Notamacropus eugenii: one gene and its partner. The protein of the gene in region 1 interacts with the protein of each later gene in a pairwise test. Links are inferred from orthologs where the notes say so. Each region holds a gene or a part of one and is shown on either strand. Other genes may lie near its edges.

Evidence for each region.
Region 2: the proteins of CBY2 (region 1) and DZIP1L interact in binary tests that used the Homo sapiens proteins (3 or more experiments, as listed by UniProt). The two-hybrid records come from large-scale screens. The link is inferred for Notamacropus eugenii from reciprocal best matches to the Homo sapiens genes CBY2 and DZIP1L.

The regions. Positions count from the first base shown.
Region 1 is NC_092877.1:296,276,072-296,283,893, reverse strand, and holds the start of CBY2 (protein chibby homolog 2), read right to left. Parts: upstream 3,020-7,822; 5' UTR 3,005-3,019; coding exon 2,915-3,004; intron 1-2,914.
Region 2 is NC_092876.1:329,279,457-329,286,762, reverse strand, and holds the start of DZIP1L (cilium assembly protein DZIP1L), read right to left. Parts: upstream 3,004-7,306; 5' UTR 2,932-3,003; coding exon 2,929-2,931; intron 1-2,928. UniProt on the Homo sapiens protein: Involved in primary cilium formation. Probably acts as a transition zone protein required for localization of PKD1/PC1 and PKD2/PC2 to the ciliary membrane.

The DNA of each region.
Region 1 (7,822 bases):
GAGACCTTAAAGTTGGGGTTGGGGGGCAGTGGGTTTTCGATGTACAGATAAAGTAAATGAGCCTATATCTGTGTTTTAGTTGACATCATTAAAGTACACTAATAGTCATTATTTGGCATTATGTATGTGAGGCAGCTAGGTGGCTCAGTGGATAGAACACTGGATCTGCAGTAAGGAAGACCCGAGTTCGAATCCAACTTCAGTATTTACTAGCTATGTGACCTTGACATCACTTAACCACTGTTTACGTAGAAGCCAGCTAATGACCCAGTGGATAGAGCCTTGGGCCTGGAATCAGAAACACCTGCATTCAGATCTGGCCTCAGACATTTACTAGTTGTGTGATGACCTTGGGCAAGTCACTTAAACTCTGTTTGCCTTAGTCTACTGGAAAAGGAAATGGTAAATCAAAACAGTATATTTGCCAAGAAAACCCCGTGGACAGCACTGATGTGATATGGTCCATGAGATCATGAAGAGTTGGACACAACTCTTGTTCATAGGGTTGGTTTGTTTTCACCAGAACTCTGTAGGAGTAAGCCCCTTTACCAATAAAGATACAGATACCTGCTCTGCACTTTTGGTCTTCTTAGAGAATTTCTTGGGGATACTGAGGTGTTAAATGATTTGCCTACAGCCATTCAGGCAAGATGTGTCAGAGATGAGTCTGAACACAGATCTCAAGACCAAGTCTTTATTTTCTTATCATACTAGGCTGCCTCCCAATGCACTGTGAATGAATTAAATAAAATGACAATATGTAAAACAGCATAGAGGAGATTGGTACCAAACCTCTAACAACAAAAATATATATGTATACATATATGTATATATATATATATATACATATATATACACACATAATTCAATTAAATCAGCATTTATTGTCAGCTATGTACAAGTCAACTGTGTGAATTGCTGGGAATAAAAAAATTAAAGGTAAAAATAGCCCCATACCTCAGGGAGCTGACATTTTTACTGGGGGTAGGAGAGGGAGGAGAAGGAAGGGTAAACAATATTTGAACAGATGAATAAATATAATATACTTTTAGGTGGCAAAGATACATGCTAATGACTAGGAGAATCAGAAAAGAAGTGTCATCTGAGCTGATCTATATCTGGGACAGTTAAAAAAAAACTAGGACCTGAGTTTGAGTCCTAGACTCTGCAACCTGTGTGACCTTAGGCAAGTCACCAACCCTGGGCCTGAGTTTCTTATCTGGTTGAATAAGATGACCTCTAAGGATCTCTTCTAGTTCTAAATCTATGACTCTGTGATGTATGTACACAAGAAAGTGTGGTTCTTCAAAAAGCTATATTCTATTTATCTTACAAAATAAGTTCTTTCTCTCCCCTCAAAAAATTCCTAGCTCCTCATTTAGCCCAGTTCTTTCATTTTACAGATGGGGAGCTGTAAGGCTCTGATAAGACCTGATGTGCCCAAAGCCACAGAACTAGTTATTGATGAAACCAGGGCCAGAAATTCTACTCTTATCTTTGTTTGATGCATCAGGCAATTTTTTTGCTTAATACAACACAGTAGTAGTTCAAAGCACTTTGGAAAAGAGTAACCTCTCTTTTCTAGGAGTATTCCTTACACAGCAAGAGGACAGATTGTCTCCAATTTCTTGAAAGACATGTCACAGGAACAGAATATCTAATCCCCAGGATACTAACCCTCAGCCAATGCCAATGAGCCCTTGGGAAGATGTTATCCATCTTCATTACACATCACCAGAAAGCATTCTATGCATCCCATGCCTAATCTTCCATAGACCCCTCCATTGTGCAGAGGAAGAATGAATACTCCCCTCCTCCAAAGCACAGAATCAAGTTTGGTAAATATTCCCTCCCCCAACACACTGCCCACCTCCTATTCTTCTGTCTGTCTAACCATCTACTATATCCTTCATCAGCCTTGGGTCCTTACTTTCTATGAATTGACTGCCAAGTCACAGACATAGCTACCATCAAGGATAGATCTTTCAGGGAAAAATTCTTCTAAATCACATCATTTCCCTTTCTTTCCTCTCCTGGTTTTCCATATCTTGTATTTTTATCACTTGTCCATAAGTTTTTTGGTGTGTATGTGTGTGTGTGTGTGTGTGTGTGTGTGTGTGTGTGTGTGTGTGTGTGTGTGTGTGTATGGCAAGGGGAGGTTTACCAGACCTGAGGGAACATTCTCTACTAATGCAGATCAACAACTTCAGAAAGCTGATCTCCTGAGGACACTAGAAAGTTAAATGACTTACCCAGGATCACACAATTGATTTGTGTCAGAAGCTGAACTAGAATCCATCTTTCTGACTCTGAGACTGTCTCTCTGTTAATCACACCATGCTGCCTCTCAAAATATTAATGCACAGACCTAATGGGGCGGATAGACAGAATCCCAAAAGAAAGAGCTACCAACAGTAATAGATTCTTCCAGGAGCTGCTGGCCACCTCTATGTCCACCCACACCACCATGCCAACACAAAACAAACCAAAAAACTACCAGTATTTAAGTCCTAAACATAAACCTTCCCATACTCATACAACCATTATGTTATTATTCCACCACCAGAAGCAGCATCTTCTCATAAGGAGATACAGATTTAATTCTAGTTAATCAGTATGGCATGAAATTGGTAGAAAATGATCTGTTCAACGTAAGGCTGTAAATATATTTTGAATCAGAGTGTCCTGAATTGCCAATGCTCTCTTGGCATCTTGTGCAATCCATCTGGTCACCCTCGCCCCAAGTTGTTACAATTTCTTCTACTAAGAGAAAGAATTTCAATCATTTTCCTCCCATTCTCTGTTTTCCTTCTGAAAACTCTTTTGGGGAGGGTCAGCTTTCAAAATCGCTCTCTGATCACTAATAAGCTGTTTTCACCCCGGTCATTCCTATATGAAGCATTTTAGGCTTTACCTTTACTTTTGACTCCTTCATTCCACATTTCAGGCTGAGTGACTGAAGTGTGCAAACAAGGTGGAGGGCAATGAATAGGGCAGCCCCCATTGTGACATAGCAACAGGAGACAATCCAAACCTCTGGTAGCATCTACTAGCAACCAAATGAAAAGCGATTTGGTAAATCGGAAACCAGGTACTGAAAGCTACTATCATACCTCTGGCCAGCTCCATAGGCTTTGTTCTCCCTGCTGATGCCAGAAAATTTGTAACCCCCATCTTCTTCATCTTTGGTAAGTAGGCATAGAGGTAATGACAGTTGTTTTGACTGGTCAAAATGATGGTCCCTTTAACATTACTTAGACTAAGCACCAGTTTGATCCCCTCCCCTCAAGTCTTAGGTAAGTGTTTTGAAATGGTGGACCATTTCATAGAATGATTAGAAATTTTAGTGCTGGCAGGAGGCTATAAAGAAAGATCATCTTTATAGCCAATGAAACATGACCCTGTCTAACAGCAGAATAGTGATGGACTCTGGGAAAGAAATAAGGCTGTGCTCTCTACGGAGGGATGTTGCATGGATTTTTACTCAGTTGTACTTCTTTGTTACAAGGGAGGTTTATAATGAGGGGGTGTCATTAAGATAGAACAGTAATGTTTTAAAAATGTTCAATAAAACATATATTTTTAAAACAAAAATTATCCAGTCCAGGAGTTTCCAAACTTTTTTTGATTGCACTCTTGTTTTCGTAGAAACAAATTTCTGTGCATGTCTCCATAGTTACCCATTTATAAATTATGCTACTACATGATAGTTACTATACTGATAATTATATACACTAGTCAGATCATCAGAAAGCATTTATTAATCACTTACTGGGGATACAAATAAAAGCAAAAATAATCCTGTTCCCAAGGAGTTCACATTCTTATGTGGAAGGCAGCATGTACATATATGTGTACAAAGAAGTCATACACAGAGTAAGTATGAGATGATCTTCGAGGGGAAGATACAACTGAGAGGACCAGGAAAGGTCTCCTGCAGAAGGTGGGAGTTGTCCTGAACCTTGAAAAAGTCAAGATTTAGAGGTGAGGAAGGTGAGAACACTCTAGGCATAAGGGTCAACCATCTAATACAAGGAGTAGTTAGAGATGAAGTATTTGTGTTTGAGTAGATCAATATAGCTAGGTCATAGAACAGGGAATGAATTAAGTGTAAAAAGACTAGAAATGGAGGAAGGAGCCAGGTAATGAAGAGCTTTAAATGTCAAAGGATTTTATATTTGATCCTACAGATAATAGGGAGCCAGTTGAGTTTAATGAGGGGAAGAAGGGGAAACACACACAGGCTGACCTAGAAGCTTTGGGAAAAACACTTTGGGAAATGAACTGATGATGGGTAGGGCTAAGAAGTGACTACAGACAAGGAGACTAATTAGAAGCCTATTGCCATAATCCAGGCAAATTGATGAGAGCCTAAATATAGGGTGATAGCTGTATGAATGGGAGAAAAAAGGAATATATGAGATGTTGTTGCAAGGGTAAAAACAAGATTTGGCAATGGATTCATATGTGGGTGAGTGAGAGGCCAGGATATAACTAGGGAAGTGATCTTAGGGGACTGGTGGGTGGGGGTGGGGATGAGACAGATAAAATAACATTTGATCCTAAAATCAATAGGAAGCCACTGGAGTTAATGAAGAATAAGGAAGTGACCTGCACTTTAAGAAAAAGTCACTTTGGTTGCTATGTTAGGGATTTATTAAAGAGGGGATAGACCTGAGGCAAAGAGATCAAATTAGGAAGCTATTACTTTAGTTTAGGTGAGAGGCTATGAGGCGTAGAACTAAGGTAATGGTTGTATGGGTAGGCAGAAAAGGAAGAATACAAGAGACATTGGGGAGGTAAACATGGCGGGACTTCCATATGGGGTGAGAGAGAGTGAGGATAAATCAATAACACCAGGGTTGAGAGCCTGAGTGACTAATGGGTAAAATTGTGTGCTCAACAGAAATGGGAAAATTCAGAAAACAGGTGGGTTGGGAGGAGGGTCGTGAAGGGGAAAAGGTAATGAATTCCCTTTTGGATATGTTGACTTTGAAATGCCTATGGTATATATATATATATATATATACATATATATAAAACATATATATTTATATATATAACATATATATTTATATATATATACATCATAAGCACTTATGATGTGAGACTGGAATTCAGGAGAAAGATTATGACTGGATATACACACACACACACACATATACACACACACACACATCATCCACATCAAGAAAAGGTAATACTTACTGTTGGGGGATGTGATATAAACAAGTAAAGGAAATTAAGGAGTGGTCAGAGAGATAGGAGAACCAAGAGAGCAGTGTTAGGAAAGAAGAAAGAATAAGTACCCAGGAGAGAGGTGGTAAACACAGTCACAGAGGTCAGAGAAGGATGAGAATTGAGAAAAGACCATTGGATCTTGCAATTAAAAGATTGCTGGTAACTTTGAACAGAACAGTTTCAATTGAATAAGAAGTTAAGGTTAAGATGGAGGTTGAGAACCTGGGTAACAAAGCATTATGGTACCCTCCCCAGAAATAAGGAAGTTCAAAAAAGGAGTGCATTGGGAGTAAAAGATAATTTCATTTTAATCCATCTGTATCTGTTCATTCTATGCTACTCACTCCTTCCCAAAGAAAAATGAAAAGTTTGTGCAAGGTTGATGGCATATAGTTACTTTTCCCCGGAGCTCAAAGACTGCAGTAGTCACCATCCAGAGGATATTGGGTGAAGTTAGTGAGGGGTAAGGAATGATGGAGTTTTGCCAACACAGATGCTGCCTGGTGCCTAGATCAGAAGTTGGGTCATGAAGGACCAACACATTTCCATATAACCAATGTGCAAGGGAGTGAGTAAAGTTACACAGAAGTGTTAGAGGAAGTGGTTGAGTTGTCTTAGAGACAAGACCTACCATTGGCTGGTGGGGAGGGGAGACAAGAATGGGACCCATCTTCTCAATGGATAAATGATCAATCAATTCATCTATTAGGGCCAAGTCACAACCCCCGTGGGGTCATTCTAATGTCCTCACTTTGAAGACAACGGATCTGAACTAGCTACCTCATTTTACAGATGATGAAGCTCAGAAAAGAAAAGATTTAGTTCCTTCCCCAAGGTTACAAAGCTAAGTAGTGGCAGAGAGAACTAGGGCTGAAATCCCAATATTCTGATGATATTTGACATTATTTTCATGATGACACACAATAATTTTGGGAAAGAAATAAGCCTATCTTTAACTAAAAATCACATACTGTATTTTTCTTCGATATGTCAATCATAGGTGGAACCAAAAAGCTTCTCAAATCTGGCACCTCCCCCTATACCACATGCCCCTCTGAATTTTAATTTGGCCAAGAGAGATACTCAGTGGAACAAGTATGATATACTTTTTCTTCCATATCCACGCTCAAACCTCAGTTACCCATAGAAAAAAAGAATAGTTATTTTGCTTCTTTGCTTACCATACACCCTCAATTATTTATGCCCAAAGGAAGGAAATCTGAGTGCAAAAGAACATGCAACATCACTCTACCTCATCCTCTAGACCATGGCTTCAAATAAATATATGGTTTAGAACAGCATTTCCTAAAATTATTCAACCATGGACCACTTTGAGGCATGAACTACATGAATTCAAACCTTAAAGGCTGATCCAGGAGATGGGGGGGGGAGATGGAATACCCACTCACCCCCAGGAAAAAAGACAGAGCTTGGGGAAAGTTGGATGTTAGAGGGGAATAAGATTATTTTTAACTCACTATATAGAATGTTTTTAATATACTTAATTTTATATTTCATATTTCAGCATTGAAATTTTCTTAAATCACTCTACTGGTTCCCATTAGTCAGAACACCAGGGTTCTGTGAGTACATGATTTGGAAAATGCCATTAGACCTATTTGTTCCCTATGCCTATGTTATATTTTGGAGCAGCTATCTTGATAACTACATGTTTATGTTTCAAATAACCTCTTTTTTCAAAATAAAAGATAAAATCATACCAAAGTGAAATTCAAGGTGCAGGATCTTCGCACAAGCTTGTCTCCAAAGCACTCAAGACATTCTAGAGGTGACATCACAAAAGATTACCACACATTCTCAGGGCACATTGTTTTCCTCAGCGTCACACAGACTCAAATATGGCATTTCAGTTTAGTGATGGGCAGACAAGTAAATTATCCTAGGACATCTTTGTCTTACAGAGTTCAACAGAGCAGTATGACACATAATGAACCCCAACAAATGGCCCCCTGGTTTGGTCATCTCTGCTGCCAGTCACACTTGACAAAGGACAATTTTCTCCCTCTGACCAGGTGAGTTTAAGGCTATCTCATACATCTAAAGCTTATTTATTATGTGGGGATCTTATTCATGTTGTTTGTGGGTAGTTAGCTCAGGAGGGATCCCAAATCTAACTCAGCCAGGAGAAAGATAAAATACAAAAGTCTAACATCCAAAACAATAAATTGAAAAAAAAATTTGAGTATAACAAACATCCTCATCACACTATTAGGCAACTGGGCTTTGTGACAAAGCCCCAGGCTTTCCAGATTTTTATTCCTTCATCTCCCTCCTCAGTTAATCAGTCTGAAAGAGGAGCAAACCATCCCATTTAAGCTCTTTAGTTGTTAGGTTACTTAATCACAGAATCACAGAAATTCAGAGCCAGAAAGGATGCGGAGTTGTCTCGTCTCAACTCCAGGAAGACCTAGGGGAAGACTTCCCGCCTCATAACCACAAAGAGAGCACAATCAGGATAAATAAGACTCCCGGGGTTTTCATATGACTAATTCCCTTGCTCGCTAGGCGGATGTCAAATCAAATCCAGGGAAAATTGAGTCTTACATATTATTAGGGCTGG
Region 2 (7,306 bases), on another chromosome or scaffold:
GGAGCAGAGTTCCATACCAGATGTCTTTACTTCTGGATGTTTCAGAATTCAGAATTTAAAACTTTGTGATTTTAAAGTCTATTCTAGAAAGCCACATTAAAACATTATAAAAATCAATCAACATTCATTAAGCACATACTATGTGCCAGTCACTGCATTGCACACTGGGTATACAAAAAGAGGTAAAAAAAAAAAAGTCCCCATCCTCAAGGAACTCACAAACTAATAGAATAAATACTATAAATAAATATTTAGGGGGATAGTTTTCAAATCTTTTCTCTTAAGAATGTTTGTATATTGTTTATAGAATAGAATCATTATTTCAAAATGGCAGCCCAGAGGGCATCCTGAGGTGTCTCTTCTAAATTATGCCTAGTGGTTTACCCAGTACCCTGCTCCAAGATCTCCAGTGCTGGAAAATTCACTACCTCTTGAGTCACACTTTGTGATATCTCTAATTATGGAGATTTTTCTTTCATTGAGACAAAATTTCCTCTCTGCAATTTTTACCCGTTGCTCCTAGTCTCAGCTGTGAGACAAACCTGAAGAAATATTCCACAAGACAGCCCATAAGACATCCATAAGACCCTTATCATGACCCAATTAAGTCTTCTCTTCTCCAGATTAAACATACCCAGACCAATCAACCGATCCTCTTAGGGCATGGTTTTCAATTATCACATCATGGTAACGATGATTCTCCCTAGGACATGCTTCAGTGTATCGATAGATTTCCTAAAATGTCTCACCTGGGACTAAATCTAATACTCTGACCATGTTCTGGTCAGATCAGAGTGCCACAACAGGACTATTGCCTCTCTCATTCTGAAGATTGTGCTTCTGTTAATTCAATCTAAGTTCATATTCCTCTTTTGGTTGCTAGGTCACACTGTTGACTCATGTTGTGTTTGCAGTCCACTAACTTTCCCAAACCTTTTCATAAGTACTGATTGGTGTCTAGCCCCACCTCCGAGATTCTGTTGTTAGGCAGTTGATTATTTTTTTTCACCCAGGTGTAAGATTTTTAAATTTTTTAACATTTTAATTCATTTTACATATTGAATTTTATCTTCTTAAACTTGACCTGTTATTCTAACTTGCCACAATCCTTTTAGGACCTGTCTATAGTCCATCGTGATAGCTATCCACCTCAGGTTCATGACAGTAGCAAATTTGGCTAACATGTCATCTATACCTTCTTCTAAGTCCTTAATTTAAAAAGGCTAAACAGTATGAGAATAAGGACAGGTCTATGGACCCTTCACTAGAGACTTCCCTCCTGGTCAATGGATCACACAACAGTTCCTCAAGATTGCTCATTTGACCAGTTTGGAGTTACCCTGGTTATATTTTCATCTAGGCCACAAGATATACTCCTACTTTAATCCCATTGCTTCCCTACCTGTATGACGATTTTTTTTTCTTCTTCTATAGCTCCTCTTCCTTGTCTCACCACTATTAGCTCTATCTTTGCCTATGCAGCAATCCTAGTTTCTCTGTCCATTTTTCAATCAAGGGTAGGATTTACTTGTGTACGTGACTTCCTTACAATCCTCATTTGTGAAACCAGAACTATTCATAAACAACAAGCAATATTTAAAACAAGACAAATAGTGAACAGCCTCTAGAATCAGAGGAATGCTGTGTGTGAGGATTACAAGTAGCTTAGTTTTGGTTGAATTCTCAAATTATGAAAAGAGATAATGAGTAATAAGCCTCAAAAGGTAGGGTAAAACTAAATTGTAGACATCTTTAAATGCCAAATAAAGAAGTTGTATTTTTTTTCCTATAGGTAATAGGGGGCCACTGGAGCTTTTAGAGAAGGTGAGTCACATGCCCATACCTAGCTTTAAGACGACCACTTTGACAGGACAGTGAAGGATGGATTAAAAAGACTAAATGGATGGGGTTGGTTGAATTGCCTCCCCAGTAAGTATTATCCCAATGCTGCCTACACATTAGCATGACAATGAATATCTCTTCTCTCGTAAGTCACCTTTCCCTTAGACAACTCAGCCACTTTCATAGGTTCAGTTATCACTTCTATATAAATGGCTTCTAAATCTCCAGTCCCTTCCAAGTTCTAGTCCTAAATTTCCATCTGACACGTCCACTTGGCTCTCCCATTATCGCCTCAAACTAAAAATTCTTAAAAATGAACTTGTCATCTCCTCCCAAAATGAACTCTCCACCTCGTCATCTCCATTTCTATCAATAGTACCACTGTCCCAGTTACTCAAACCCAAAGCTTCAAAATCTCCTTTAATTCTACCATCTCCCTCATCTTCTTACAACCAGTCAACCAAGTTTGTCATTTTATCTTAAGTGACTCTCATATCTGTCCCTTTCTCTTTAGTAATGCTGTCCCTGCCTTAACCCAGTCCACCATTTGCTCATGCATGATAATTATAATAGTGTCTTTTCCCCGTCCAATCTAATCCCATCCAATCCAACCCCAACCCACAAGATGAATTTTTCTCAAAATGTTGCTTTGATCATACTGGATCTCTGCTCAAAAACAATTTCCCATTGTCTACAAGATAAAGTCCAAAGTCCTCATTTTAATATTAAGGACCCTCCACAACCTGGCCCCAGTCAGGTCCAACAACTCCGTTTTCCATTACCCTCCCTTACTAATCCTTCTGCTCCATCCAGAGTGATCTATTCACTGTTTCCCAAGTATAGGATATCTATATTGTTCATGTTTTATTCTACCAATCTCAATCCAAACCAGCTATAGCAAAGCATTTTGCAGGCCTTCGATGAAGATTGCCCATCAATACCTAGATACCTCTATCCCCCAGCTTCCCACTCCATTCCACCTCAAGAGAAAAGCCAACCAAGGTCACTATGACCAGATAAGTTCTCTCATATTCCTCCTTCACATATGACATTTTACAAAATCACTGTGGCTTCAATGCTACATACCATATTTAGAACAAAGCTGCAGTCTCCTATCAGCCAAGCCTCGGAAAGCCCAGCAACAACAAACCAGGTTGCAGAGCAACAGCACTGTCACTAAGTATTCAGCAGCGTCCAGAGGTAATAGGACACCTGCATCCTGCCTATTGTAGAGAGCCAGAGTGGCCCAGAGAATTTCAAGTCATTAATTATTCATATTTTGCTTTTTGAGTTTTTCCAGTGGTCATAAATACAAACTGATCACTAGACAGAATATTCTAACACACACAAATTACGTGATCTTGGGCAAACATTTTGTCTTCTCTAGGACTGGATTTTCTTATCTGTAGTATGGGTCTCTGTCAGACACATTATCAAAAAAGATCTCTTACACATACATACACACACATATGTTTGTGCATATATGCATACATATATGTATGAATATAGGATGCTCTTTAAATTGTAAAGTCTCCTACAAATAATTTCAACCTACACCATTGAGAGGAAGTTACAGAGGCAGATTTAGGTTCAGTGTAAGAAAAATTTCTCCACAATTAGAGCTTTCCCAAAGCAGAATGGGAAGGCCCAGGAGGTAATTGGTTCCCTTTCATTTGAGGCCTTAAAGAAATGGCTAAAATGACCACTTGTCAGGGATTCTGTAGAAAGAATTCCTGTTCAGATATAGATAGATAACCACTGACTTGGTCTGAGTGTCTAGACACTTGGTGAATTGTTATTCTTCTGGTTTTTCAGCAAATCTGCTTTTTTACTGTCATTTAAACAATAAGTAACATAAATCTTGGATATCTCTTCTCAGTCAAGACCTCTGGTTACCATTCTAAGAAATAAGCATCTTTACAAATGATATACTTGTTTCCTAGTACAGAGAATTCAGCACCATTATACAAGACCGTAAGAGACAAGAGAACATCTTTCAGATAGATAGTTACCCAGAAAACTTGAGATCCAGGAATTCTCCTTAGGTAACTCCCTATCATCACAGCACTCACCTCTACTTAACCACATCTTGCCTTCTTGCTGCTTCTTTTGCATGAACTGACAGAAGACAAAGCTAATTCTAACTGCTCCAGGTTACCTAGAAACCAAGCCACCAAGGAATAGAGAAGCCCTTCTCATTACTCAGGTTTCAGGTGCTTTATCATCATTAGGCTCCCTTATCCACATCCAAAAGTAGAGAAATAATGTAGGGATCATTGAACTGTCCTGAAGCCCTCCTATCTGCTTTGTTTTCTTTTGGAAAACCTGAAATTTTATGAAATATTTTCAGATGTTTGAGTTTCTTGAACTGTATAAAAAATTTCCCAACTTAAGACCAATTACCATTACCTAGGGCCCAAATTAATCAGGCTTTGCTATATGTGTATTCATATTAATAGATTTCATTTTCATGGAAAAAATTATTTTCTGTGTTAGCATGCTCATATTGCTCTATGATCAAGTGGTTCAGCTCATATTGTATTTTAAATATAATTTAGGTATTCATTAGGTTTCTATGGACAAAAAAAGTGTCACCAAATGGTCAACCTACTGGTGAGAAGATACCTCATGTTTAACTAGGACAGCCCATTGAAAGACAAATAAGAGTCTGTTGCTAGAACTAACAAAATTCCTTTTTATAAATTTAATATTTTATTGTTCCTCAGTTACAGGTAAAAACAATTTTAACATTCATTTTTAAAACTTAAGAGTTCCAAATTCTCTCTCTTCCTCCCTTCCCCTTCATTAAGAAGGCAAGTAGTTCAATATAGGTTATACATGTAACTTGCAAAATTTCTAGAGTCATCTGATATAGTAGATACAGAGATGGCTTCAAAGCCCTGAAGATCTACATTCAAGTTCTGCCTCTGACCCATACTGTCTTGGTGATACTAAGTAAATCACTGAATCTTTAAGTGCCCCAGACTATTGATGATCTTCTTGGTAGATGACACTTCCAACACTTCCCTATACCAATGAAATCAGAGGTCTAATCCCTATCCTATCAACTTGAAATATGTCCCTTTCTAACTGAAACCTTAGGTGTCTCTGGTTTATACATCAACATTTCATTAATATTTCCTGAAATCTCAATGAAATTTCTTCAAATAGGAAAACTTAACTTGCCTACTTGCTATAGGTATGGCTAGCTGTCATATAAGGTGTTGAGGCAGCTAACATCCAAAAGAGCAAGATGTGTTTCCTGAACCACCATATCCCCTTTTAGAAGAGTGCCAAGATTTTGGTGGCCACCACTCCTTGAAGAAGAATATAGGGTAGGAGAAGTAGGATAGTCTTATTCAGAGAGTTGTCCATTTCCTTTTTGTTCAAGGATCTGGTAAACCATGCAGAATTATGTGTCTATGACTGGCATACTACCCCCCCCCCAAAAAAAGGAGAGAGGATGAGTTACCCACAGCAACAGTCTCTACCTGTTAAAGGAGCTAGGGAGCTAAGGACAAGGCTTCATCATCATGGATCATGACTTTCAGACCAATGAATGGTCTTCCAAAAATGTCAGAAACTGAATTTTTAAGTCTTACCTAGAGACAGACAAGAAGGTCACTCTGGAGCTGCCCAGTAGCAAGACTGTAAGAATCTATTACAAAAATGGGACCTATCTTTCAAGCATGTGAAAATATTTAACATGGACAAGTATGTGGGTCACTCAAGGAACTCACTGTACTGCTAATATAAAGCAACTTTTTCAAACACATTGATTTTACTCTGAAAACATTTACAGCCTAGATGGTCATGCAGATGATGTGCAGATAGGATGTACTCCTTTGAAGAGAAGAGAAAGGCAGGCTCAGATGGGCATATCACCTTCAGAAAGCCTGCCTCAAATCTGGCATTTTGGACCCAAAAGAAGAATCTCACCATGGACGCCATCCTAGCAAAGTCTCTAGTTCTTTTACAGAGAGCCCTCAAAGATCCCCACCCTGGTAATATGCATGAGTGATGAGAAAGCAACACTGAAGCTGAAAGTGAAAACTGTCAAGTGTTTCAAAATATTGACAATTGTTCACGACAAGTTGGTATAACCACTGTACAATATAAAAGAAAGTGAGCCTTCCGAGACTCCATCCACACTATGAGGACATGGGCATGGTTGGAGATGCCAGAAGGGTCATGATCCTTATTACATGGGTACACCAGGGATTTACTTTCACAAGAGGATTGAGGAAGGGGATCAAATACAATAGCATTTACAGAGTACTTTGAAGTTTTCAAAGCACTTTATAGATATCTCATTTGATCCTAGCAACAACCCTGGAAGTTAAAAGCTATTATTACTCCCATTTTACAGATGAGGAAATTAAGGCTGAAAGAGATTAAGTGACCACCAGGATTACACAGCTGGTAAGTATGTGAGGTAGGATTTTAATTCAGATCTTCCACATTCTAAGTCCATTACTATATTCACTATGTTCCTCAGAGACTCCGGTAGACTAAATCTGTCTTAAAGTAATACCCAGGCACAGGTTTTATGTGTAACAAACATAATATAATGGAGCTAAAAGCAAAAACTGAAGTATTTCAGTGGGTAGAACATGAATGACATTTCACCTTCAAAGGATTTTTAAGTGCAAAGACCACACACAGAACAAGCTACCCACTAAGATTTGCCTTCCCCTACTTAAAATGCCTATGCCCTTTGAAGTTTGCCAGGCTCATTTAATATTCATTCAATAGATATTCATCACCCATTATGTGCAATAAATTCTGCTAGGGTCTGAGGGAGATACACAGACCTATCAAGTGTGGTCCCTGCTTCCAAAAAGCTTATTCTTCAGTAATCATGAATAGCCTTATACTCCCAGATAGATTCTGCTGAGATTGGTAACATCTGATGCTCTTCCTAGAACATTTCATTTTGGAGACTTCCTTTCAAACAATGACAACTTCCTATTAGGATCATCGCAATTTTATTTGTCTCTTTGGAGCCTTCTAGCTATCTAATCTCCTTTATCCTTCTATGTCATGCTGCTGCTGCCTCTACATCTCTTGAGTCTGGGAAAATCTTCTGAATCTGGCTGACATATATCTAACAAAATTCCTTTGAAATACTGTGTTTTCTACTAGTAACACTCTATTTTAACTTTTATGTGATGGGTAAATCAACATTGTGCCTTAAGTTGATGGATCAGTGCGTTTTTTTATAATGTGATTTGTTGTTGTTCAGTCATTTTAGTCAAGTCCAACTCTTTGTGACCTCATTTTGAGTTCTCTTGGCAGAGATACTGGAGTGGTTTGTTATTTCCTTCTTCAGCTCATTTTGTAGATGAGGAAACTGAGGCAAATAGGGTTAAGTGACTTGCCCAGGGTCACACAGCTAGTAAGTGTCTGAGAATGGATTTGCACTCAGATCTGTCTGACTCCAAGCCTGGTGCTCTCTCCCCAG